3 linked regions of the Lepisosteus oculatus genome follow. The protein of the gene in region 1 purifies or fractionates together with the protein of each later gene. This does not show direct contact. Links are inferred from orthologs where the notes say so. Each region holds a gene or a part of one and is shown in the gene's direction. Other genes may lie near its edges. The genes, in order: lyn, ankrd54 and plcg2.

Region 1 (8,102 bases):
GATGCCTACAAGTATTTTGAGAAATGTTACCAGTGTTCTTGATGAATTGTAAATATTAAACCTGTTCTGTTAAGTGCTTCAGAAGCGTTTAATATTGAAACTATCATGTATTTGTTGTGTAAAGTACCTTTTCTATAAAAGTGAATCAGTAATGCTCATGCTATATCCCATTATTGTTTTTTTTATTTTAAAGATTATTGGATTTTTGAACCCATATTCATGTACAGTATATGGTAACAAAGCTTGAATTATACTGTTGGCAGTGTTATATTTTTTTTTAGGCATATCGATCAAAGTTCCTATTAAAACATTATATTCCATAACTATTTTTGTAGATTTTCTTAATACTAGTAGTTTGTTCACTGGTGGAGTATATTTCAGTTGTCAGATGTTAACAGCTAGATTTGTTGCTACACAAAATGTTTTCATTGTACAATTTAAGGATGTGAGTTTTTGTGACTTTGGAAAAAGCACTAAGTTGGCAAAGACAAGCTTTTTCACATGTCTTTTATAAACGGATCAAAGAGACGGAAGAAAAAAAGTTATTTTTTGGGGTGTGTATAAATGTAGCACCAGAAATGGCCAACACGTTATTCCATGTTTTTAAAAAGGACTATTTCATTTTTTAGTTTTTTTTTTCCATTTGATAAAAAATCTTACATATTCAAAAACAGAAGTGTCTTAAGAATAAGCTATTGGATTCTTTTTAATTGGTTTTATTTTAAGGATCTCATCACCACTGTAAGTTTTCTACTTAAAGCAGGAGAGATGGCACAGTGGAGGAACATGAGAAACTTGGCGTTAGCACAGGCTGTGTGTGTAATATCTTCATGTTGTTTGGCAGTCCACCAGAGCTGTACGCCATTCGCAGTCATGGACATTAAGGACAGAAGCCACGTGCTACAAAGTGGATGCTTTGTGTGGATGTAGTTAGCGTGCATTGATTTTTCAACATTGTGCTTCGATGTTGCCACCTTTGTTATTTATAATCTTACCGTTTCAAATCAGCCTTTAAAGACTGAAGATTTAAGCACCTTTTTCAGGAGCATCAAGCCTGCATATTACAATGACTATTCTACTGCCAATGATGTTGTTTATTCTGGATTTGACAGGTATTATAAACCCTGCCTGACAGCAAAGAAATACAATTTCAGTGTCAGTGTCCTATCACTGGGCTTTGACTGTCAGCTCTGTGCCACCGCATAACTTGCTTGGTGTAGACGTCTGCCATCTGTAGATGTTGTACACCATTGGCTTTGCTAGCTGCCTCCACCTTCCTGCTTACTCTGTTTTTAACGTGTGTATCCAGGTTACCAAACCAGGTCGCTACAGTGAAGGTGACAACAGATTTAGTAAACATTCTGTAGAATAATGTCATTGCTGTCGTACAACTCGTTAAAAGAGCGGAGTTAAGTCAGGAAAAGCAAATGCCGTTGGTTCTTCTTACATACAGCATCCGTGTTTTCCTCAAATGTTAGTTTGTCGATGAATGTCTGACCCCCGTCTGTCTTCCAGATCCACTTTCCACCCAATCTCTGTGTGCATTGTTTTCAGACCAGTACAGGGCATAGTGCAGGCAGCCTGTTTCCTCCTCATTCCCAGCTGTTTTTCACTCTAGTCAGGGAAAGCTTCATCAAGATCGTTACTTTCTCTTCAACATGGCATAGGCTGTCAGTGGAGGCATTTAGTATTTATCATATATTTCTGGTTGCAGGTGCCATGGAGGTGGAGTGGTTAGAGTTAGTGAGTGCAGCTGAACGTACCCAATGAAGAAAAGAGAGAGGGAAGAGCAGGAGGAATTAGGAAGACTGCAAGAGACCGATGTTTAAAAGATAAGATAGGATCCCAGAGGAGATAAACCACATAAACATACACTGGTGGGCTGGCACGTGTCACACTGTGCACATTTTCTGTGCTTAGGAATGGAAAATCCATGAATGGTTTTCATGAAGGATAGAACTAGACCCCCATGTCCAGCTGGATATAGATGGTTCCATTTCTAAATAGTTTGCCTGCCTGGCAAAACAGGCTTTATTTTCTGACAGCCACATACTGTAACAGTCTTATTTATAACTTTCGTTTTGTAATTTGCAATACGTCCATCCAGAATTAGGAAGTCCGCACTTGTAATGGAAATTGTTGCTCATATGTAAATGAGATTTGCAACAGTTCACTAACATTACAACATAAGTGCATTGATGTCTTTCTTCTTTTCTATGCTGAAAAGCAGAAAGAAGATGCACAACTTTTCAGCTGTGGAGCCTTCACACCTAAAGAAGGCTCCACAGCCAAAACATCATGTTTCTTCTTTCTGCTTTTAACTGTTCATGTATATCATGTTATATCTGTTATAAACACTAGTTTTATTGAAACAGACCTTCATCAATCTGATCAACAACAAATACAAGAATGCAAGATGCGCAATAAGGCTAGACAACGTGCTGCTGATAACATTGCACGGATGACTTTGACCAGGTAACTGCTGATCAATCAGCTGATCGCAGGTGGTGTTTTTCAGATATTTGTGTCTTTTGAACCCCTCACTGCCTTTGTTTAGCACACAGTAAGTTGTTTGATCAATGGCACAGTTTGGGAAATCTGCTCAGGCATATCAGCAGAAGATATCTGGTCTCAGTTGAGCTTGTATGTTGTGTTTAATTGTATGGAACAAGCAACAAAAGAATTATTGTAAGGTGTCGGATAGGAATAACTACATATCCTGTTTTGCAACAAGCAGCAGAGCTCATGTTTGGCAGAGAGTCCAAGGCAAGTGTTCATACATGGCAAGGACATCTGTGTCCAAAACGTCCTAGCCTCAGGGAAGCATGGGCAGGTGAATGGAAGAAGCTGAATTCTACAACCCAGGCACTTCTACAAGCAGTGCCTTCTGCTAAAGACTTGTCAGCACAGCCCTGAGAAGAAGTGGCTGTGAAATTGGATAGAGAGCATGCATGGCCAATCATAGCTTCTACACTGGGCCAGAGTAACACTCCGAGAACTTATCCTATCCAGTAAAGTACATCTGCTGGAACAGACAACATCTGAGGTCTCTTAAGCAAATGAGGAAGTGATGTGATAGAAGAATCATCGGCTGCCACTTCTGTCACTGATTGATCAGGGTCTAAGCAGTCATAGAACCCCCTGTAAGCCACATCAAGAGCCTGAATCATGAGAAAGCCACTGTGTTAAAGAGAATATGAACCCAAGTGATTAACACATAGCTATATACAAGAGGCTAAAAATCCCTCAGCTGCTACGTACAGTAGGTTATCCAGTAGGATTTTTCACTGAAATTAATAATTAAAGTTACAAGTAAAGGTTAGTTCCATTCTTAAATAGAAGAGACAAGATTTTGACTGTAGAGCTGTCTTCTAGTGTGAGGAAGAGAGAAGACGGGTAGAAAGGATATAAAGCACAGGTGAACAAAAGGAAGGAGCAAATGAAAAAAATGCACAGAGCAGGTGAGGAAAAGTGTCCAAACAAACAGAGATCCGGGGGAGAGGTGACAAAATTGGAATGGATATGGCTCAAAAAGAAATCCGTCTATCATTAAAGGGGGTAGGAAGACATCCAAATTTAAGGAAAATCTTGTTTGTTTGTTTGTTTTTCCTGAAGCAGTAGTATTGAAACCCCTGTAAAAGGATACAGACAAAACGGTCAGTGAAATCATGGCCAGGACAGGTGAAATGGAGAACTATTTGGGTGGAGAGATTTTTCATCCTTACAACTCTGATGTGCTCCCTGAAACGGTTAGCAAGTTTTCTTCTTGTCTCACCGATGTAAGAGAAGCAAGAGATGCAGTAAATGAGATTACTAGATACATTTCTGAGTGATTTTGAAATGTATGGTACTGGACACACGCATATGCTGGTGATTCAACAGCTTCTGTTACAGCAAAAAAAAAAAAGGTGCCTGGTGTGGATGGTAACGGATAAATCAATATTTAAAAACGTTGTTGCTTGTTTGTTCCATACAGTGTCTGTTAATTTATTTTTAGAATTATAACTCCATCGCCTTCGCTCTCACTCCAGGAGACTCATATTACATAGAGCGCCTTCAACGTTTTTAATAAAGTAACTAAGCAAAACAGGCGGTTCGAGTTTTGTTACTCACTTCGTTAATTACCAGATTCTTGAGTTGTGTGGCAATAAATCTGAGCAGACCAGCTGACCTCTCGTCTTCGTAAGGGTTTTGTAAGGGAAGAACATATACAGTAGTTGCTTTTATGGCCTTTGGCCATTATGAGTACGTTTTCCGATTTGCGCTTTTGTTTACTCTATTTATTATATTGATTGTTCAGCTTACTTATACCTAATATAAATTTGCAGAAAAGCAAATAACAGTTTGCTGCAGCATTCCGAAAAAATAAATTAATGGGTATTTTTATAAAAAAATATCCTTTGAATTTTGGACATAAAAGCATAACACGTGTTTCCTAATTTATATAATTTATAATAGGTATTTGAATTTCCATCCATTTTACAATCCATACAAAATCCATCTAAAACCTCTCAATGCGGTATCAATATTATATCACTACAGATATGCGCCACTGGGAGAAGAAACATGAGTTTTTGTCTGATTTTGTAGAAGTCAAATTCGTGGATTTGTTGTAGCATTAAAAAAACTATTTCGTTACTTTCAGAGAGCAACGCTTTGTAATCGGTCACAGAATCCTTTTACAAATAGTATTAATAACTTGCTCCTCTAAAAAAAAAGTGCATTAATTCCTGAAATGCTTTTTTAATGGTTGGCACTTGCAACTCCAGTATTCTTGCTTTCCCCAGAAATTTTGCTTGTGTTCAAGATAACATAAAGGTCTCCAGAGACCGGACATTTGAAGAGCGCAGGGGTATTATGCAAATAAATGCTAAACATACTGAACATTGTACCAGGAAGTTGCACTAAAAACTCCCAAACCAATTCTGAAAACCAAGTTCCTCATTCTGTGTGCTAGATGTTAACAGCAGAAATTAAAACTGGACTTCATTTTTCAGAAGAATAAATGTGTAAACAGTACGCGTGAAATTCGAAAAATAGTTGATCTGCGACAATTTAAAGGCGCCAATTACTGGACAGAACAAGGATCTATAATTTACAAAAGTAAGTCAATTATTTTGTTATAGTCCTAAACAGTTACTAGTATACTAAGTTTGGTGGTAACACCATTCTGTACTCAATTCTTGACATTAAAAAAAAGATATTTTCTTTCAATAATAGTACCTGAAATTAAGGTGGTAAGAGTTCTATTTGATACAGTTTTTTAAAAACGTTACTTCGGTTCAGCTGTTTGTTTTCCCGTTGGTTTTTACAGTCTATTAATAAAGACAGTATTTGCATCATCTCCATAATCATTATCATCTTTCATGGAAATATTATGCTCCATATCTTCAAAGCACTGTACGTGTAAAGTACATTCTTTTACCGTCTTTTAATAACACAACAGTTTCTAAACCCAAGTAAAATGCAATAAACGTCTTCTAGGAGCAGAGTGTGTTTTATCTGACTTAATGTACAGTCCGTGAATAAGCACTGAAGTAGAGGGCTGTCTTGAAACCATTTGTAGGTGTCGATGTGTGTGCCTCCCAACACGTATGTTTCTAGATATGTTAGCAGAATAAGATTGTATTTCTATGACTGTGCAAAGTGCTTCAGATTTTTAATATCATGGGTTTCTCTATGTAACAAACATCGTATGATTTTTTTTAAAACAACAAAATATAGCGAATTCTGGGCAATGTTAATATTTTAGAAACTCTTCTTTTGTTAATTTTTAAGTTCACGTTTTATTGTTTTACTTTGTTATGGGGTAAAGTAATGTTAGAGATGTACTTTAATAAATGCTGGCTAAACTAAAACACAAATAGTATAATTTTTGTGTCATACTTGTTGTGTATTTAAGGAAAGATACCATAGCTTTCAGGATTTTCAGGATAGGTAGCTTAAGCAAACCAAACATTACAGTTTTTAACATTTTGTTTAACTGGTTCATAAAGCAAAAACAATACAGAACACACAACAACATCTAGAAATCTATCCATAAATTATTTAGGTTTGATACTATAACAGTAAAAAGTCAACTTGTTCACATTAATATCAATCATTTCAGCAGACTCATTATACACCTGGAATCTTCAGGTGTATAATTTGAAGAAGAGGTGTCTGGAAGTACTGAGATTTTAACTTCAAGACACTGGAACAAAGTGTGTTTATTAGGAATATTTGTATTCCTAATAATGATGTTATTCAATACTAGTTTGCTATAAAATGTAAAGAAAAAAGATGTCATGAAAAACTGAATGTCATTGAAATTTTGGTTGTTTTTTATTCATGCCATCATGAATTATTTACAAGCATGCAGAATTATACTTTTATTAAAAATATCTTGTGGACTTTATCAGCAAAGTTGTTTTTAAATATGTCATGTATTATATTTCTGTAAATGTTTTAGTATGTAGCTTATTATTTGCCTTTCAACAATGGAGAGTAGCTTATAACCCCTAATGCAAAACCCACATACTTCACAGGAAATGCAAGAAAACAGGTGGTCATGTGTTTTAGACACGCATTGCCCAGAGATGGTTTTCAACACTTTTAGCTTGGTATCTTTTCTAAACCACATTGACTTTTCTATACAATAGTATTGTATAATAAATGTTTGTGCTGTCTGATAGTTTAACACTAGTTCAGTACTTTCATAAGCATCACTTCCACAGATAAGATAAAGAATGAGTCCTGTTTGTAGTTTGTGCTGCTGAATACCTTGCTGAAGTATGGAAGCAATGCCTACATATACAATGTATTCTATATCAATATACCATCAATTTACCTTATCTACCTGTATCTTGTTTTGTTGAAATCTTTTTGTACAGACGCTTCATGTCATACTACTTTATGTGTTGTAGTAGCAGGGGTCGTTCTTCGAACGAGTCTTAATTTGTTGGTTTGGCAGGATTATCATTTTCAGACTGAGCAGGTTGTCCTCTGCCGTGGGGCTGCAGTAATGTTTTGCGCTTTAGCTTTGACTTTGTGTGTTTTGAACATAGTATAAGACATAAGAGGATGTCTTAAACAATCAGCACAATTTGTGGCTCACTTACTGCACATACAGTACAGTATTACACTAATGCAGATAGCAGTAAAACCTTACAATTTGGTTCTGTGTCCATTTTATTTAACTATAAGCCACATAAATCAAAATCAGACAGTTTAAGAGTGGAGGTACCAATCACCCTCTGTAGTGCCAAGTTTATAAATGCTGAGTTTGATGATTTGCAAGGTCCGAAACAGCTAATGTGTGTCAAATGGAGAATTTCCTTTTTGCAAGAAGAACTGTGCCGTTGTGACATTTGTGAGGTGTGCTCATTTGTTTAAAACATACATTAAAATGTCCAAACAAGTTGAATGTCATCTGGCATTGTTCCTTGAAAATGCTTGCTAAAATGCCATTAAGAATAGGGATTAGCATTTGAAAAGAGACAAAACGTGTTGATGATGGTATTAGCTCTCAGGTGGTTATCTACATAAGCTTTTATTTTATTGGACATTAAACAGCATGTTATCTACTGTATGTAGTAAGACCCTGCTCACTATCTGAATCAGCAGTCTTCCCCTGACATGTCAGAGTTGTTGCACAAATGGCCCAGCTCAGAGGAGGAAATACAGCACATCAATTGCAGAAGGGTTACCATGATAATCTGACCATAGCACCCTGCCTGTTTCCTGGCTCTCATCTAAAAATACAGTGACGTCTCAGCTCCAGCATTTCTCAATCTAAAGTCCAGCTCTTTCAGTGGTTTCATCGTCTCTTGAACAGCTTTGTTTAGAAACTATGAGGTCTATTTTCTTCGACGCTTTTTATTGTTCTTTCTGATGTGACAGTTTATTTGGGTTCCTACAATTATTTTTTTTTTAAAACGTTGAGCATTTCTCTTTGGTCTCAAATGAAATTTGAGAGAATTAATATGTGTTTGCACAGATTTTGTGGGCTTTTTTGACCACTTTTTAATAACTGTAGTAATGTCCAGTATTGTAACTTTCTATAAAAAATGTCCATAAATGCTCCTTTTGGGGGAATGCTTAATAAATTTTACAGTGAGAGA
Region 2 (7,441 bases), on another chromosome or scaffold:
CCTTGAATGAGTGTGGTGGTGGCTGTGTACTTGCAGGTGATACAGCGAGCTCTGTTGCAAGGGAAAGTGCCTGGTGTGGATGGTTGTTGAGGGCGGTCAAGGGAGCTGTGAACAAGGAGGTTACGCAGATTAGGTGGTCGGCGATATGAGATGATAGGGCGATCAGAAAAGAGGGCCCCAATGGAGGGATCATCCTGTAGGATGGAAAAATTCTGGTTAATGGTCCTGGGGATAGGAAGTGTGTTAGGGTGGTAAGGAAGCACCAAGGGAATGCGGTTGTTACGGCGGGAGTTCCTGATCGGGTTGATGGTCCGGGGGGTGTTTTTGGCTCGGGCAAGGGCCCTGTCAATCACACTGCTGGGGTATCCTCTGTTGATAAAAAATGAGTACATTTCGAGGGCTTGGTTCTCGAAGTCGATGTCGTCGCTGCATAGTCTTCGTAACCTAAGGAACTGTGAAAAAGGAAGAGAGTTTTTAGTGTGGTTGGGGTGAAATGAGCTGTACAGGAGGTAGCTGTGTGAATCCGTGGGTTTGTAATAAACTGAAGTGGAAAGTCGGGGGTAGTTGATAGACAAGTGGATGTCTAGAAACGGAAGAGTGGTGGAAGATATGTGAACTGTATATTTGAGGGACGGGTGGAAGTTGGTGAAATGGTGCAGGAAGAACTCGAGCTGATCGTTGGAGCATGTGGCGGCACCGACGCAATCATCAATATATCGTTTGTAGAGGTCAGGGACATAGCCAGTGTAGGAGGCGAAGAAGCGTTCTTCTACCCAGCCGACAAAAATGTTGGCATAGCTGGGTCCCATTCTGGTGCCCATGGCAACTCCACTGACCTGTTGGTAAAAAAGATTATTGAAAGAGAATGCGTTCAGTGTGAGGACCAATTCTGCAAGGCGTACCAGGGTGTGGGTGGGTGGATCAAGCACTGTGCGTTTGTCCAGCGTGTGCTTGAGTGCTGTAAGGCCGTCATTATGGGGAATGACGGTGTACAGAGATGTGATGTCCATGGTAAAAATGTGGCATTCGGTACCCTGAAATTGGAAATCATTGAAAAGTTGGAGCGCGTGGTTGGTGTCTTTGATGTATGAGGGAAGATCTTCAACCAGCGGTCTCATGAGGCTGTCGAGAAAGGCTGAGATGTAAGTAGTTGGACAGTTACATGCTGATACGATGGGGCGTCCAGGGGTGTCCGGTTTGTGGATTTTGGGGAGGAGGTAAAATTGAGATACCTGTGGATGTTCCATGATGAGCCGGTTCGCCTCCTGGGGGAGCTCGTTACTGCTGATAAGAAGGGAAATGGTGGATACCACTTCCTTTTGGTAGTCAGTGGTAGGGTCTTTTTTGACGCAGCTACCCACCTGAACTATATATATACAGTATATGTATCATCTCGTACATATACTGACAGACTTCTTTAATCAACGAAATGGACATTACTGTAAAATATTAAATTACTGCACGTAGTTATTTCAACAATATGAATGTAAGAGTATTTACTTCAAATCTGAATATTCTCAAAGAGAGAAATGGGAATATACCTGGTGGTCTGAGCTCATCTCTCGTCTTTCTGCTGAGCTCGTTACGGTTTGGGGAGCCTCTGTCCGAGGGGCGCACAGAGAAGCCCACCACAGCTGGCCCTCCTTCCCGGGACGTGGGGGCTGGTGCCGCGTGGCTGGGTGGCTGAAACACAACACTCAGGACAGACCGACATTTCAGGCTTCGTGTTTATCGTCACGCCGACCGGAGCCCAGTGAAATCCTTGCCTGCGCGATTCCCCACGTAACACACCACAGCATCAGCTGTTGGAGACGAGAACGCGGGACAGCGAGTGGAGAGTGGCAGCAGTGTGCGCCACCTCGCGGTGGGCAGCAGCCCACAGCCTATAGATCAGGAGCAGATTCCCGACAAGAACACCGGCCCGGGGCTTTAAACCTGTTAACCCCGGAGTGACCCCGCCCCGCTGGTACTGAAGACAGAAGCAGAGCACACTCGCTAAACGCACAGAGAATATCAGGGCGGAACATGAACCCCCTGCAACTGAGCTCCGGAGGTGCTGCCTTTGGAGCTGTCCAGTGTGCACTGGGAACATCGTGTACAAGCCGAGTGTAAAGAGAACAGCGAGCAGAGACGGGCAGGCTGGAGGAACTGGGTCCCACGATTTCTCAAAATGAACACACATACACCGATACAGCGGGCACAAGTAACAACTGGAGGAAGAGCAGGAAAAACTGAGAGGAGGAGGCTCTACTGTACACAGAGAGGGGTGGGAGACACAACTGGGTGAACTCCTGCAGCCAGGACAGGAGGCTCTACTGTACACAGAGAGGGGTTGGAGGGGGGAACAAGCTGCCCAGCCATGTTGTTGAAGCCGATACCCTGGCTTCTATCCAGACACAGCTGGATGAGCTCCTCCAGTCAGGACAGGAGGCCCTACTGTACACAGAGAGTGGTGGGAGAGGGGAACATATTCTCTCCAGACACAGTTGGATAAGCTCCTGCAGCCAGGACAGGAGGCTCTACTGTACACAGAGAGGGGTGGGAGGGGGGAACAAGCTGCTCAGCACGTAGGTGCAGCCCATACCCTGGCTTCTCTCCAGACACAGCTGGCTGAGCTCCTGGGATTAATTAGCTAAAGCAAACAAATGACCTTCTTTAGCTCAGCTGGCAAGACCTGGGTTCGAGCCCATGCAGTGAGGCACGAACTAGGGTGGGAGCGGCGAGGGCACAAGCCCTTGAACCCGAATCCGTTACAACAGCGAAAGGACAGACAATGAAATGTGGGCATTTCGAAGTCGTAATTCTGAGATACAAAGTCACAATTGCGAGGTACCATAGCGCGTTGTTTTTACTCCCTGGCGGAAACGGGCTTCCATATTATCAGAAGCGCTGCGGCCGTAGCCTGATAAAGCGCACTTGAGCACACTTACAAGAAATTGTATATTGTCAATAAAGTGATCTAATACCTTATCCGTGTCGCCCTTGTACACAGTGCCACTTAACAACATCCTGGTTATTCTTCACGTTGACGAGTGTTCTTTGCACAAAAAGAGCAACAGCTGTCTTGTTGTTCGTAAAGTTGCAAATTCAAGCCTTTTTGCACACGTGGCTTGACTGGCGGGTCGAATCTTTACAAGGCCCTTGGTGCGCGTGTTTATTGAAGAAGGAGACGGTGAGAAATTGATCACTTCTGATTTTTAAAACAGGACACCGCTGTGAAGTTTTAAGACGTGCTTGTTAGAATATACGATTGTTTGCTAAAGTTCGCTTTTTCAGGCTACACCCTACACCTTATCAGCTCGTCTGATAAGGGTTGGATATTAGAGAGAAATTTAATCTTCCTGTTCACACAGACGCACATAAAATGCTGGTATTACATGCAAACTCCAGCGCCGCCCCCCACCTGGGCAAACAGAGGAACACGATTGCAGAACTGTTAGTCTTGCACCAGTAACACGCATGAGCTCGGCAGACGGCGCAGTATCTCGGGTCCGAAAACAACACAAACGCAGCACTAAATTCACAGAGCTAATTACTTGTACTGGTCCTCGTCGGCTTAAGCCAGCAGCCACGTCACCCTGCAGCTCACCACTGGCAGCCCACTGGAGCTCAGCAGGTGTGAGCCTGGCCAGTACCTGGATGGGAGACCTCCTGGGAAAAACTAAGGTTGCTGCTGGAAGAGGTGTCAGTGGGGCCAGCAGGGGGCGCTCACCCTGGGGTCCGTGTGGGTCCTAATGGCCCAGTATAGTGACGGGGACACTATACTGTAAACAGGCGCTGTCCTTCGGATGAGACGTAGAACCAAGGTCCTGACTCTCTGTTGTCATTAAAAATCCCAGGGTGTTTCTCAAAAAGAGTAGGGGTGTAACCCCGATGTCCTGGCCAAATTTCCCATTGGCCCTTACCAATCATGGCCTCCTAATAATCCTCCTCTATGAACTGGCTTCATTACTCTGCTCTCCTCCCCACTGAGAGCTGGTGTGTGGTGAGTGATCTGGTGCACTATGGCTGCCGTGGTGGAGGGGATCCCCATTACCAGTAAAGCGCTTTGAGTGGAGTGTCCAGAAAAGTGCTATATAAGTATAAGCAATTATTATAATAATAATAAGAATTAATAATAAAGTCCCCCCACGTCCCACCTCTCCAGTGTGTTCATTGGCGGAGCGGGTGCAAATGACGTTCTCTGATTGGTCTTCACAGGAATCAATCAAGTCACTTCCGGGAATAGAAACAATGGGTGGGCGCACTTTCCTCACACGCATGCGTACATGAAACAGCGCCACAGCGGTGAAACAGGTGCCATCTTGGCTCTGCACAATAGAGTTCTCCACGTTCTGTAGAGTAGGGGTACGGAGCCAAAATGGTGGACTCAGGGGCTGCAGTTTCAAACTTGGTGGTTTTGTTATGCTTTGCAGTGACTGATATGGCGTTCTGATTTCAGACACGGTGTTTTTGTAAATAAACCAAGAGTTTGCAATACAACACGCACAAGAAGGTTCGGAATGGAGGGCTGGAGCCCGGTGGTGGCTTCGGACGAAGAGCGGTCCAGTTCGGATGGAGAGGACGTGGTCCCGCCGGAGGCTCCGCATCGGGAGTCCGGAGCGGAGGCGGCCGGGTTCGGGTTCGCCGGACTGGGGGACGGGGTGCGGCTCGGCGGGGCCGGTGCGGCCGCAGACCCGGGACTCCGGTACCTGCACGTGCTCTGGGATCCGAACCGGGCCGAGCCCGAGCCCTGCAGCCCCCGCCGGCCCGGGAAGCTGGGAGTCTGCCGCCTGAGGCGCCACGGGAGAGCGCAGCGCGCCGCGCCGCTGGGGAGAGAGACGCACGGTACCGGTTCTGGCTCGTATCGCCTAGCGGGCTGTCCGCAGCGTAGAGCAGCGCGGCCCACACCGCCTGTATAGCGCCTTTCCCCGCGGGGACGCAGGCCGACCGCCGTGCGGGTCAGTCCCTGCTCTCAGGCCCAGGGAGGAGTGACCGAGAGACCAGCCCGAGTAACGGGTCGTGTCCCACCTGGTCACCTTACGGGACAGTGCAGAGCGCCCCCTGCTGGTGGAGTCAGCGCTGTCAAGTCGGGTGCCCAGCAGAGCTTGTGTAGTGTCAGTTGTGTCAGGAGAGTCGCTTGTGTTGGTTGTGTGAGTGTCAGGAGTGTCGTTCTGTTGTGTCAGTACTGTCCGTTGTGTTAGTGTCAGGGCTGTCGGTTGTGAAAGTCGGGATTCAGGAGTGTTGGTTGTGTCAGGAGTGTCGGTTGTGTTAGTGTCAGGGGATTCAGGAGTGTCGGTTGTGTCAGGAGTGTCGGTTGTGTTAGTGTCAGGGGATTCAGGAGTGTTGGTTGTGTCAGGAGTGTCGGTTGTGTTAGTGTCAGGGGATTCAGGAGTGTTGGTTGTGTCAGGAGCGTCGGTTGTGTGTGGGTACTGTTAGTGTGTCCTCTGATTCTCTCTCTCTGTGTTCAGCTGGGAAGAGGCTGAGAGAGGCAGCCAATAGCAATGACATTGACACAGGTAAGCTCACCCCCTGACCCCTGACCTCACCACTGTACCCCACCCAAACCTCACCCTTGACCCCTGACCTCACCACTGTACCCCACCCAAACCTCACCCCCTGACCCCTGACCTCACCACTGTACCCCACCCCAACCTCACCCCCTGACCCCTGACCTCACCACTGTACCCCACCCCAACCTCACCACTGTACACTGTGTTGTGGTTGTGTAGTGCTATGTAGTAGTAGTGCTGTGTTGTGTGTTGTGTACAGTATAGATCTGTGTTGTGTAGTACTGTGTGTGTGGTATGCTGTGTAGTACTGTCTTGTGTGGTGTGTTGTGTAGTACTGTGTGTTTGCTGTGTTGTAATGTTTTCTCCATGTGGGTCTGTGTGCTGTGTGTTGTGTGCTGTTTTGTGTAGTACTGTGTGTGTGCTGTGTATTAATGTTTCTCCGTGCAGGCCTGTGTGCTGTGTTGTGTAGTAATGTGTGTGTGCTGTGTTGTGTAGTAATGTTTTCTCCATGTGGGCCTGTGTGCTGTGTTGTAGTCTTAGTATCCGTCTGCAGTGTAGTGTAGTTCTGTGTGTACAGCAGTGTGCTGTGTTGTGGTTGTGGAGCTCTGTGTTGTGTGGTGTGTTGTGTGTTGTGTACAGTGTAGATCTGTGTTGTGTAGTGCTGTGTGTGTGTAGTAATGTTTTCTCCGTGCGGGCCTGTGTGCCGGCAGTGCGGCGCCTCCTGGAGGATGACGCTGACCCCTGCGCCGCGGACGACAAGGGCCGCACCGCCCTGCACTTCGCCTCCTGCAACGGCAACGAGGGCATCGGTGAGCGAGGGGGAGGCGCAGCGGGGCGTCTGAGGGGGAGGCGCAGCGGGAGGCGCAGCGGGGGGTCTGAGGGGGAGGCGCAGTGGGGGGTCTGGGGGGTCTGAGGGGGAGGCGCAGCGGGAGGCGCAGCGGGGCGTCTGAGGGGGAGGCGCAGTGGGGGGTCTGAGGGGGAGGCGCAGCGGGAGGCGCAGCGGGGCGTCTGAGGGGGAGGCGCAGTGGGGGGTCTGAGGGGGAGGCGCAGCGGGAGGCGCAGCGGGGCGTCTGAGGGGGAGGCGCAGTGGGGGGTCCGAGGGGGAGGCGCAGCGGGAGGCGCAGCGGGGGGTCTGAGGGGGAGGCGCAGCGGGAGGCGCAGCGGGGCGTCTGAGGGGGAGGCGCAGTGGGGGGTCTGAGGGGGAGGCGCAGTGGGGGGTTTGAGGGGGAGGCGCAGCGGGAGGCGCAGCGGGGCGTCTGAGGGGGAGGCGCAGTGGGGGGTCTGAGGGGGAGGCGCAGCGGGAGGCGCAGCGGGGGGTCTGAGGGGGAGGCGCAGCGGGAGGCGCAGCGGGGGGTCTGAGGGGGAGGCGCAGTGGGGGGTCTGAGGGGGAGGCGCAGCGGGAGGCGCAGCGGGGCGTCTGAGGGGGAGGCGCAGTGGGGGGTCTGAGGGGGAGGCGCAGCGGGAGGCGCAGCGGGGCGTCTGAGGGGGAGGCGCAGTGGGGGGTCTGAGGGGGAGGCGCAGCGGGAGGCGCAGCGGGGGGTCTGAGGGGGAGGCGCAGCGGGAGGCGCAGCGGGGCGTCTGAGGGGGAGGCGCAGTGGGGGGTCTGAGGGGGAGGCGCAGTGGGAGGCGCAGCGGGGGGTCTGAGGGGGAGGCGCAGCGGGAGGCGCAGCGGGGGGTCTGAGGGGGAGGCGCAGTGGGGGGTCTGAGGGGGAGGCGCAGCGGGAGGCGCAGTGGGGGGTCTGAGGGGGAGGCGCAGCGGGAGGCGCAGCGGGGGGTCTGAGGGGGAGGCGCAGTGGGGGGTCTGAGGGGGAGGCGCAGCGGGGGGTCTGAGGGGGAGGCGCAGCGGGAGGCGCAGCAGGGGGTCTGAGGGGGAGGCGCAGCGGGGGGTCTGAGGGGGAGGCGCAGCGGGGGGTCCAAGGGGGAGGCGCAGCGGGGGGTCTGAGGGGGAG
Region 3 (7,207 bases), on another chromosome or scaffold:
TAAAAGGAAAGAGTGATTAGGCAAGTTAACAGAGGGGCCACAGTTAAAGGCAGCATCCTTTTGTGGTACAGAGAAAAAAAGATGTCGGACAGTTTGTCTGCTGTGTGACCTGGATTCTGTCTGACATGCTAAGTATATTTTTTTAATCTAGAGAAAAAAAAAGGTAACAACAAAAAAAGATGACAAGCAGAACTCAGTTTGCCTTGAAGGCAAATACTTGCAGTTAGCTCTGTGATGAAACTCTGTTTGTTTGTTTTTTTGCTGCCACAAAATGTGGTGCAAAACCCAATCCTGCCAAGTAAGTGGTTCTGTGGTTTGGTTGCCTGAGCAATCTGCAGGTTTCAGGACAGAGCCTTTGAAGTTTTGCGTGCCAGTCAGTCATCTCTGTGCCCTTACAAGGGTCAGATCGGCGCAGTGCAGCCTCTGTGCTGAAACAGGAAGCAGACCAGAGCAGCCTTTACTGACAATCAGCACGGTTTTGGTGTCTTTCTCTGGAAGGAAGCCGAGACATTTATTTTGAGCGTTTGAAAACGGTCTGCACCATTTTGATAGAACAAACACTGGCATACCAAGTTGTTTCAAAGGAAACACAAGCTCCCAGCAGATAATGTTAAAATGCTCTGAAAATGAATGCTAACTAATAAGGGTTTCACAGTAATTCAGGATCACAATCTGAACTTGTGCAAGTTAGGCTCTGATGAGAGCACACTTGCTACAGTAGGTCACAAAGAGCCAGAGCTGGGGTGTAAATGAGAGCACAAGGTTCTGGAAGGAAGCTGGGAAGTCCAGTGTTTCCAGTGGTAAAGGAGGGGATTGTGGGATTATCAATCAATGAAGAAGAGAAGTTACACAGTCAAGCAGTTGCCTCTAGTCAAGTACAAGATTCAGTTGAATAAAAGATTTAATCTAATTAAAACTTAAGGATTTTTCATCATCATCATACCTTTTGTATGGCTGCATGAGGTAGGTATGATGTCAGGAAACCAATTTAGAACAGACCCTAACATCTGGGCCTATTACTTCCTACTGTCCTATGCACAGATGTCTGAATAACACACACAGCTAGATGCTTTTGCAACAAGGTGATTGTGTTAAGCAGTCTTGAAGTGGGCCTACAGTACAGGAAAATCAACATCCTGTGTAAGCCTTTTACTACCATGGAGACTGTGTATTTGGCTCTATCCTCACAGGTTCTCTTCACTTTTGGGCACAAAAAAAAACAGCCCATCTTCCATGGCGGTTTAAATATTTTACACTCGGAGACGAGCTTTGGTGTGAAGATAATGCTATTATGTTACTGTTGTTCGTAATAGCTATTGACACAGCAGGTTCCCAATCTCGTCCCGGAGGCCCACAAGTTTGCCGCTGGCTCCAGCCCCTAGGTGGACTTAGTCAGGCGACCAGCCGGGGAGCGGCCCCGGTGGAGCGCAGATTGCGCGAGGCATTTAGCCGCCCGGCTGAACTCACAGGTCGTGCTATTACGTCATTTCTCATACCGTCGGATGTACCTCTGCAGATGTGTAGGGTTTTAAATAGCTCTTTTTTTTCACTTCATGAAAAAGAACGGCACACGCACAGAGCCACAGACTCTCACAGACGTAACACACTTCCTATCCAGCCCATTCGACGTGATTTTCTTACCATATAGGGCTCGAATTTGAAAAGGAAGCAACACGAAGGTAGATGGTTGGAGGAGAAATATATCCACGACTGTGAAAACCACATGTCTCAGCCTGCTCTGCGACGGAGACAGAGAGACTGACGCGTACAGAGCGTGTCAAAACGCCTTTTATGGCTGGTTTGACTTTTGCCCCCTTTGAAAAAAAAATGCAGAACTAAAACCTTTATTGCTACAGAATCGGTAGCTTTCAAGTGAACTTGTCTTGCGCGGAATGCACAGATCGGGGAATGAGCAGAAGCCGCAGTTACAGTAGCTCAATTAAAATGAACACCTCTGGAAAACCTTTTTTCACAGAACTTTGAGCACACAGTAGGAAGCTGGTGTTGCAAAATGCATCATTTGACTTTTTGGGCATTCAATTTTAAAATGAGGAGGGACGTTTCTGCTATATTCATATTTTTTATGCTAAGGATGACTTGAAACTGCGCTTCGTTTTAACATTTGCATTTGGCCTTGTATTTCAAAACTTCAGCTAACTGCAAAGCTGAGCTACAGCTACAGGGTGCTGGGCGTCCTTCACAACACCGAATATATTTTCTCAACTGGGTTATGAAAGCTTTAAAAATGATGAAATCATATTTGGATTTCAATATCCTGTTGTGTGAGGTAGGGATTTAAAATCCCCCTCATATAATTTTGCCTTGGGGGTTTTAGAAATTCAAGGGTAGGGTGTGTCCCGGCAAAAGAATCATGATTTCATTATGGTCTCATAACAAAAACTACGTATTATACCCTCTACCACAACGATATGATGGAATTTCCAAAATAGGAATGAGCAGAATAATAGGTTCGAAGATTTGTGTAACAGTATTAACGCCTCTGAGCCAGACCTGCTACACTTATCGGTTTTTCACATTTTCACAGCAACAGAAACTCATCTCTTGCATTCTTTGAAAATTCAGTCAATTCAGAATGGGTGAGGAAGACAGACGACGTAAATTGGCAGAACATAAAATATTTTTGAGCATCACCAGGAAAGCCCAGCTCTGTAAACTACCCATATCACCCAACTTAGTCAATCCTGGTTTCAGTCGGAGGACAGTGAGGTATGCTAAATCAGTATGCTACTGTAACCATTCATACTAGATCCCACAGTTTACAAAAGAGATTAACGACCAGAATTTCTCCAGAATAAGAGTTATGCGCTCGTTACCAAAGTTACCAAAGGCTACTGTAGGTTTGCACAAACCGGAAAGCTACAGGTACACCGTACGGACAAGTGTAGAGAAATGAAAGCTTGTGAAAAAGGGCTCTCAAATATGAGAAAACATCTGCCTAATCTGGAAGCAAGGAGCACGTAGCAAGGTAGATTACTCTCTGTGAGCTAGATAGGTACACGCTTTAGCAGTCCAATATATGAGAGGTATACGGCTTGTACAGCCTTTACCGTTGCGCTATCTTCTCTTTTGAAAGCATGGTGTTTTAATTAGCCACCAGAGGAGAAGTTCCTCTTTATTACGGACTGCTTGCCAAAAGCATCAGCAGTGCCATTTTGATGTTGTGATCATCTGTTTTGAAGGACTGTAGAATTGAAATTGAAGTGGGGTAGCTGATAAATGAAAATTGTTTGATGCAATCGTGACTGGGCTTTGAAATTTGCATTTGTGAGTGTGCATGACAGACAAAAACAATGTTATCTGATATTGAAAAAAGTTGAAGCAAGACGTCTGCGCACAACAGGTTAGGTGGATACACACCCACTACACTGAGAGAAAATCTTTATGTCCTTAAAAGGATTTAATCTTCTAGCAGATCCCTTGCTATGTAAGTAACAGTAATAAGTAAACTTGCGCCCCCTTGTGCCAGCGTAATCCTAAAAACGTAATATTCTCTGTATTCACTTTATGTGAAAATATGCTTGAACTTAAGTGCGTAACTAGTGTTTTTTTCCAAAAGAAGAGAAAGTTTTAAGGCACTCTTGAGAGTACTTTAAAATATTTGAAAGCAGGGACATATCTCCGAATTTAATTTGATAGCTGGTAAATCCACTGTATCCTTATTTAAAAAAAACATCAAAGGCGGCAATAAGAGATGACCAATTAATTTTATGAGGGTGCTTACATTAGCCTTACAGCAATATTATTCTGCATGATAAGATGTTACAAATGGAATTGTGTTATTTGTTTTAGCCCGAAGCAATCTACATACAGGGCGGTGTTCCCTGTCACCATAGTGAGATATTAGTTTGGAAGATGCCGGACCTGGTCCCGGGGGGTCCGTGTGTCTGCTTTCTAAATCTCTTTAAAGCACTAGCAGCTGAAATTACTAACTTAACCCGATTAAACCTATTACTAGCTCGCTTAATGTTGTTCATAACCCGTAAAATAAGCACGTTACACTCTCCTTGGATCCCATTGGATACTTCTTTATTTCTGTCCCGCCCAATGTGTATTTTACGAGTATGCTATTGGACAACTTTTCTGTCATTATGGGCACTGTAAGAGGAAGTTCCGGGTCATGTGACTTAACCTGTTTCCTTGGGTTTGGACGTGATGAAAATAACAATTAGTTTAGCCCAAAGAGGTGTTTTCTTATAGTACGGTTCAGTTTTAAATGGGTGCTTGCTGGAGTCTGAGTACTGAAGGTGCTCGTGTTGTCCGAAAATGAGTAAACACAAGTGTGGTTTTGCTCTGTTGTTTATACGTTGAATGCAGTTAACTGGACTTCGTTTGCTCAGGGTAATGATGTATCTTACTGTTGAGTTTAGAATATTTTGCAAATATATTAATTTTAAGGCTTTTCTTTTCTAAGAATCTAATCTGAGAGAATCTAAGAGAAACGTTGTTCTTAACGTTTCAGACCAGTGTAGCTGAGGTATTGAAGCCTCATTCACAAAGTAAAAACAAACTGCTATTAGACATGATATCATAGCTCTATATGTTTAAATCTTTACATATGAAATGTTATTAAAATTAACGAGACCCAATAAAACGCAAGTTTTATCGGACAGCAATTTTGATAAGAAGTGCAGTTTAAATCTCTTTTGATTTACTCTTTTTAAACTCTGGAGGTCTTCCTTTTCCTGGAAGAGTAAAAATCGCCCGGATTATGGCTAATGGCAGTCCCAAGAAAAAGCAACAGGATCAAAGCATCAGTCGATACATACAGGAGGAAAGGGAAAGTGAAGGTTGCAGAATACTTCTCCTGACAGAACTAAAACGAGCCCCAATCCCATGTCTTGCTATAATCGCTATGTGTGATTGCGATTTGACCTGCATTGGAGAATGTAGTACTGTCTTTTTTTATCAGTAAACTCGGCTGGAGGTCCCAGCTTCAGAATTATGTGCTGTTTACGACGGATCACACTGCCGTCTATTGTCAGTGACGGACAGTTCCTAATTGTCAGCTAAAACAAAAACATGTTGTGGCCCCCTTCACTCGTAAAAGTCGCTAAAAATGAGTGTTGTTGTCTATATGTTAGTTTCTTGCTTTTATAAAGCGTTTTTCCTTCCAAAGTGATCCACCTGTGGGACTGCAGGGGGCGGGGGGGGACCCACTTCGTCCGCCCGCGAGGGCAGCCGGCTCCTGGGCGACGGGCGGCAGCCTTGTGCGCCAGCAGCCCGGCCGCACCCAAGTCGTTAAGACCAGACGAGGAGCGGGCTGGTGAGCGGTGCTTTGCGAGTGTTAACGTCTGCGTGTTGTCTTCAAGGAGAATGGGGAATTCCGAGAGCGTCTCCATCCAGCGGCTGTCCCGATTTCGCCCCGAGGAGCGGCCGGTGATCGAGGGGGCGTTTGACAAGCTGTTGGGCTCATGGGTGGCAGCCGCCGGGAAAGGGAGGCCTCTGCTGACCCTGGAAATTGTAAAGGCAAGGAGTAAGCCATTTGTTGTTGTTTTTTGTGTTAGCCCACCCGATTTGGAATCGCCAGTTGCGTGTTTATGACGTCTCGTCTGCAAACCCTGTGACCACACAAGGGGGAGAGAGAGGAAGTGTAGTCAGACTCCTCGCTCCCGTCTGCCTGCGATCCACTCGTTTCTCCGGATGTCCCAGGCAGCACAGCCCCAAAGGGAGAGCTCTGTGCTGATTGGAGGAGAAGCCTTTCCTTCACCGGCACCATCTCATGCCTGCAAGCTTCTGGAAGGCCACAGGGGGCGCTGTGACTCTGAGAGCCACAATCACCCTGGTCGATCAGTAGTCGGCTAGTGACATGATCCTGGCTAGATCCCATGGTCACACAGCTCCGCCAGTGGGCGAAGTCCCTTACTGGATGAGCTACTCAAGAGGCCCCAGAATAAGCCATTTATGATGGTTCTGATTCAAGGGTCTTCAGTCACCAGTCATGAGAAGTGCGCTAGACCCGAGATGGAGTTTAATAAGCAGGAGGTATTGCTGCACATTACTTAGTGACGGCTTAACACCTGTTTGCATTTGGAGAAACTGGTAGTGTCTATGTGTTCTCTTCTTTATCTTCAGGGCTGTCTGCAGGGCCTGGCTACAGACAACATGGCTGTTCGTGTCTACGATGGCATGCGTAACGTGGACCCCACGAGGAAGGCAGCGCCTCCTAGTGGTGCTGTCAGCAAAGAGCAGTTGGTGATCTTCCTCTCAGATATCTTACGAGGCACAGCTGAGGAGAAAGGTCCCGTCGTCCTGTCCATGATCTCTGGAGCTGGGAGAGGCACTGTGAAGGGTGGACAAGTCGGAGAGGTAGTAGGACTCTTAAATTCCTCATTTCCCTGAATCAGACTAGTTCCTGGAAATTGACCAGGGTGATAGACAATTTCCAAGTGTTAGAAGTGCTAGCGAGAGGATGCTGTAGTGGGAGGTGGCCACATGGTAAGTGTACTTGTAACTCACCATAAGCAGTGGATACACCTTGTTAATTATTTTCAGTTTTGATTTTTATTACTTGGATAACATAAGTTCCACCACATGCATATTTGTATTTAAGGTATAATGATATGATTTTTTGGGGTGGCACAGTGGTGCAATGGTTGGCATTACTGTCTCCCAGAGCTGGGGCCCTGGATTCTGTTCTGGACCTGGGGTGCTGTCTGTGTGGAATTGGTATGTTTTCTCCGTGTTTGCATGGTTTTCCTCTAGGTCCTCTAGGTTTCCTCCTACTGTCCAAAGATATACTGGTAGGTGAATTGGCTTCTGGGATAAGTAGGCCTAGCTGTGGGTGTGTGGGTGTTTGTGTGTGCCCTGTGATAGACTGGTGTCTCATCCAGGCTGTATCCTGACTTGTTCCCATTCCTTTTCGGGATAGGCTCCAGGTCCACCATTAAACTTTAAACTGGTAGAAAGGTGTTTCGTGTTGCATGTAGTCTATTAATTTGCTTTGCAGTTATTCTTAACAGTTTCAGGTGCAAAAATGTCCACACACTGTATCATTAAAATGTTAAGCCTTGTAGAAATCATTCTGTTGGAGTTGGAAGTACATTAATGCTGTCTTGGATCTGAAAGCTGGCTGCTGTCCAGGTTTTCTGTCTGTGAAGGCTTAACTTTCTGAATTGACTTGGGCTGTAATACATAAGAATGAAGTCTGTGGCTGCGTTCTTCCCTGCAGTACTGCAAGTTCAGAGCG

Evidence for each region.
Region 2: the proteins of lyn (region 1) and ankrd54 purify together in Homo sapiens (affinity purification with mass spectrometry; 3 studies listed by BioGRID and IntAct, with this or other methods). This does not show direct contact. The link is inferred for Lepisosteus oculatus from reciprocal best matches to the Homo sapiens genes LYN and ANKRD54.
Region 3: the proteins of lyn (region 1) and plcg2 purify together in Homo sapiens (affinity purification with western blotting; 3 studies listed by BioGRID, with this or other methods). This does not show direct contact. The link is inferred for Lepisosteus oculatus from reciprocal best matches to the Homo sapiens genes LYN and PLCG2.

Annotation. Positions count from the first base shown.
Region 1 is NC_090701.1:49,187,452-49,195,553, forward strand, and holds the start of lyn (tyrosine-protein kinase Lyn), read left to right. Parts: upstream 1-5,018; 5' UTR 5,019-5,103; intron 5,104-8,102. UniProt on the Homo sapiens protein: Non-receptor tyrosine-protein kinase that transmits signals from cell surface receptors and plays an important role in the regulation of innate and adaptive immune responses, hematopoiesis, responses to growth factors and cytokines, integrin signaling, but also responses to DNA damage and genotoxic agents.
Region 2 is NC_090707.1:39,581,378-39,588,818, reverse strand, and holds the start of ankrd54 (ankyrin repeat domain-containing protein 54), read left to right. Parts: upstream 1-4,358; 5' UTR 4,359-4,502; coding exon 4,503-4,827; intron 4,828-5,450; coding exon 5,451-5,498; intron 5,499-6,202; coding exon 6,203-6,301; intron 6,302-7,441. UniProt on the Homo sapiens protein: Plays an important role in regulating intracellular signaling events associated with erythroid terminal differentiation.
Region 3 is NC_090715.1:12,894,273-12,901,479, forward strand, and holds the start of plcg2 (1-phosphatidylinositol 4,5-bisphosphate phosphodiesterase gamma-2), read left to right. Parts: upstream 1-4,114; 5' UTR 4,115-4,359; intron 4,360-4,383; exon of another isoform or gene 4,384-4,808; intron 4,809-5,330; exon of another isoform or gene 5,331-5,333; 5' UTR 5,334-5,334; coding exon 5,335-5,487; exon of another isoform or gene 5,488-5,494; intron 5,495-5,594; exon of another isoform or gene 5,595-5,922; coding exon of another isoform or gene 5,923-6,003; intron 6,004-6,093; coding exon 6,094-6,327; intron 6,328-7,207. UniProt on the Homo sapiens protein: The production of the second messenger molecules diacylglycerol (DAG) and inositol 1,4,5-trisphosphate (IP3) is mediated by activated phosphatidylinositol-specific phospholipase C enzymes. It is a crucial enzyme in transmembrane signaling.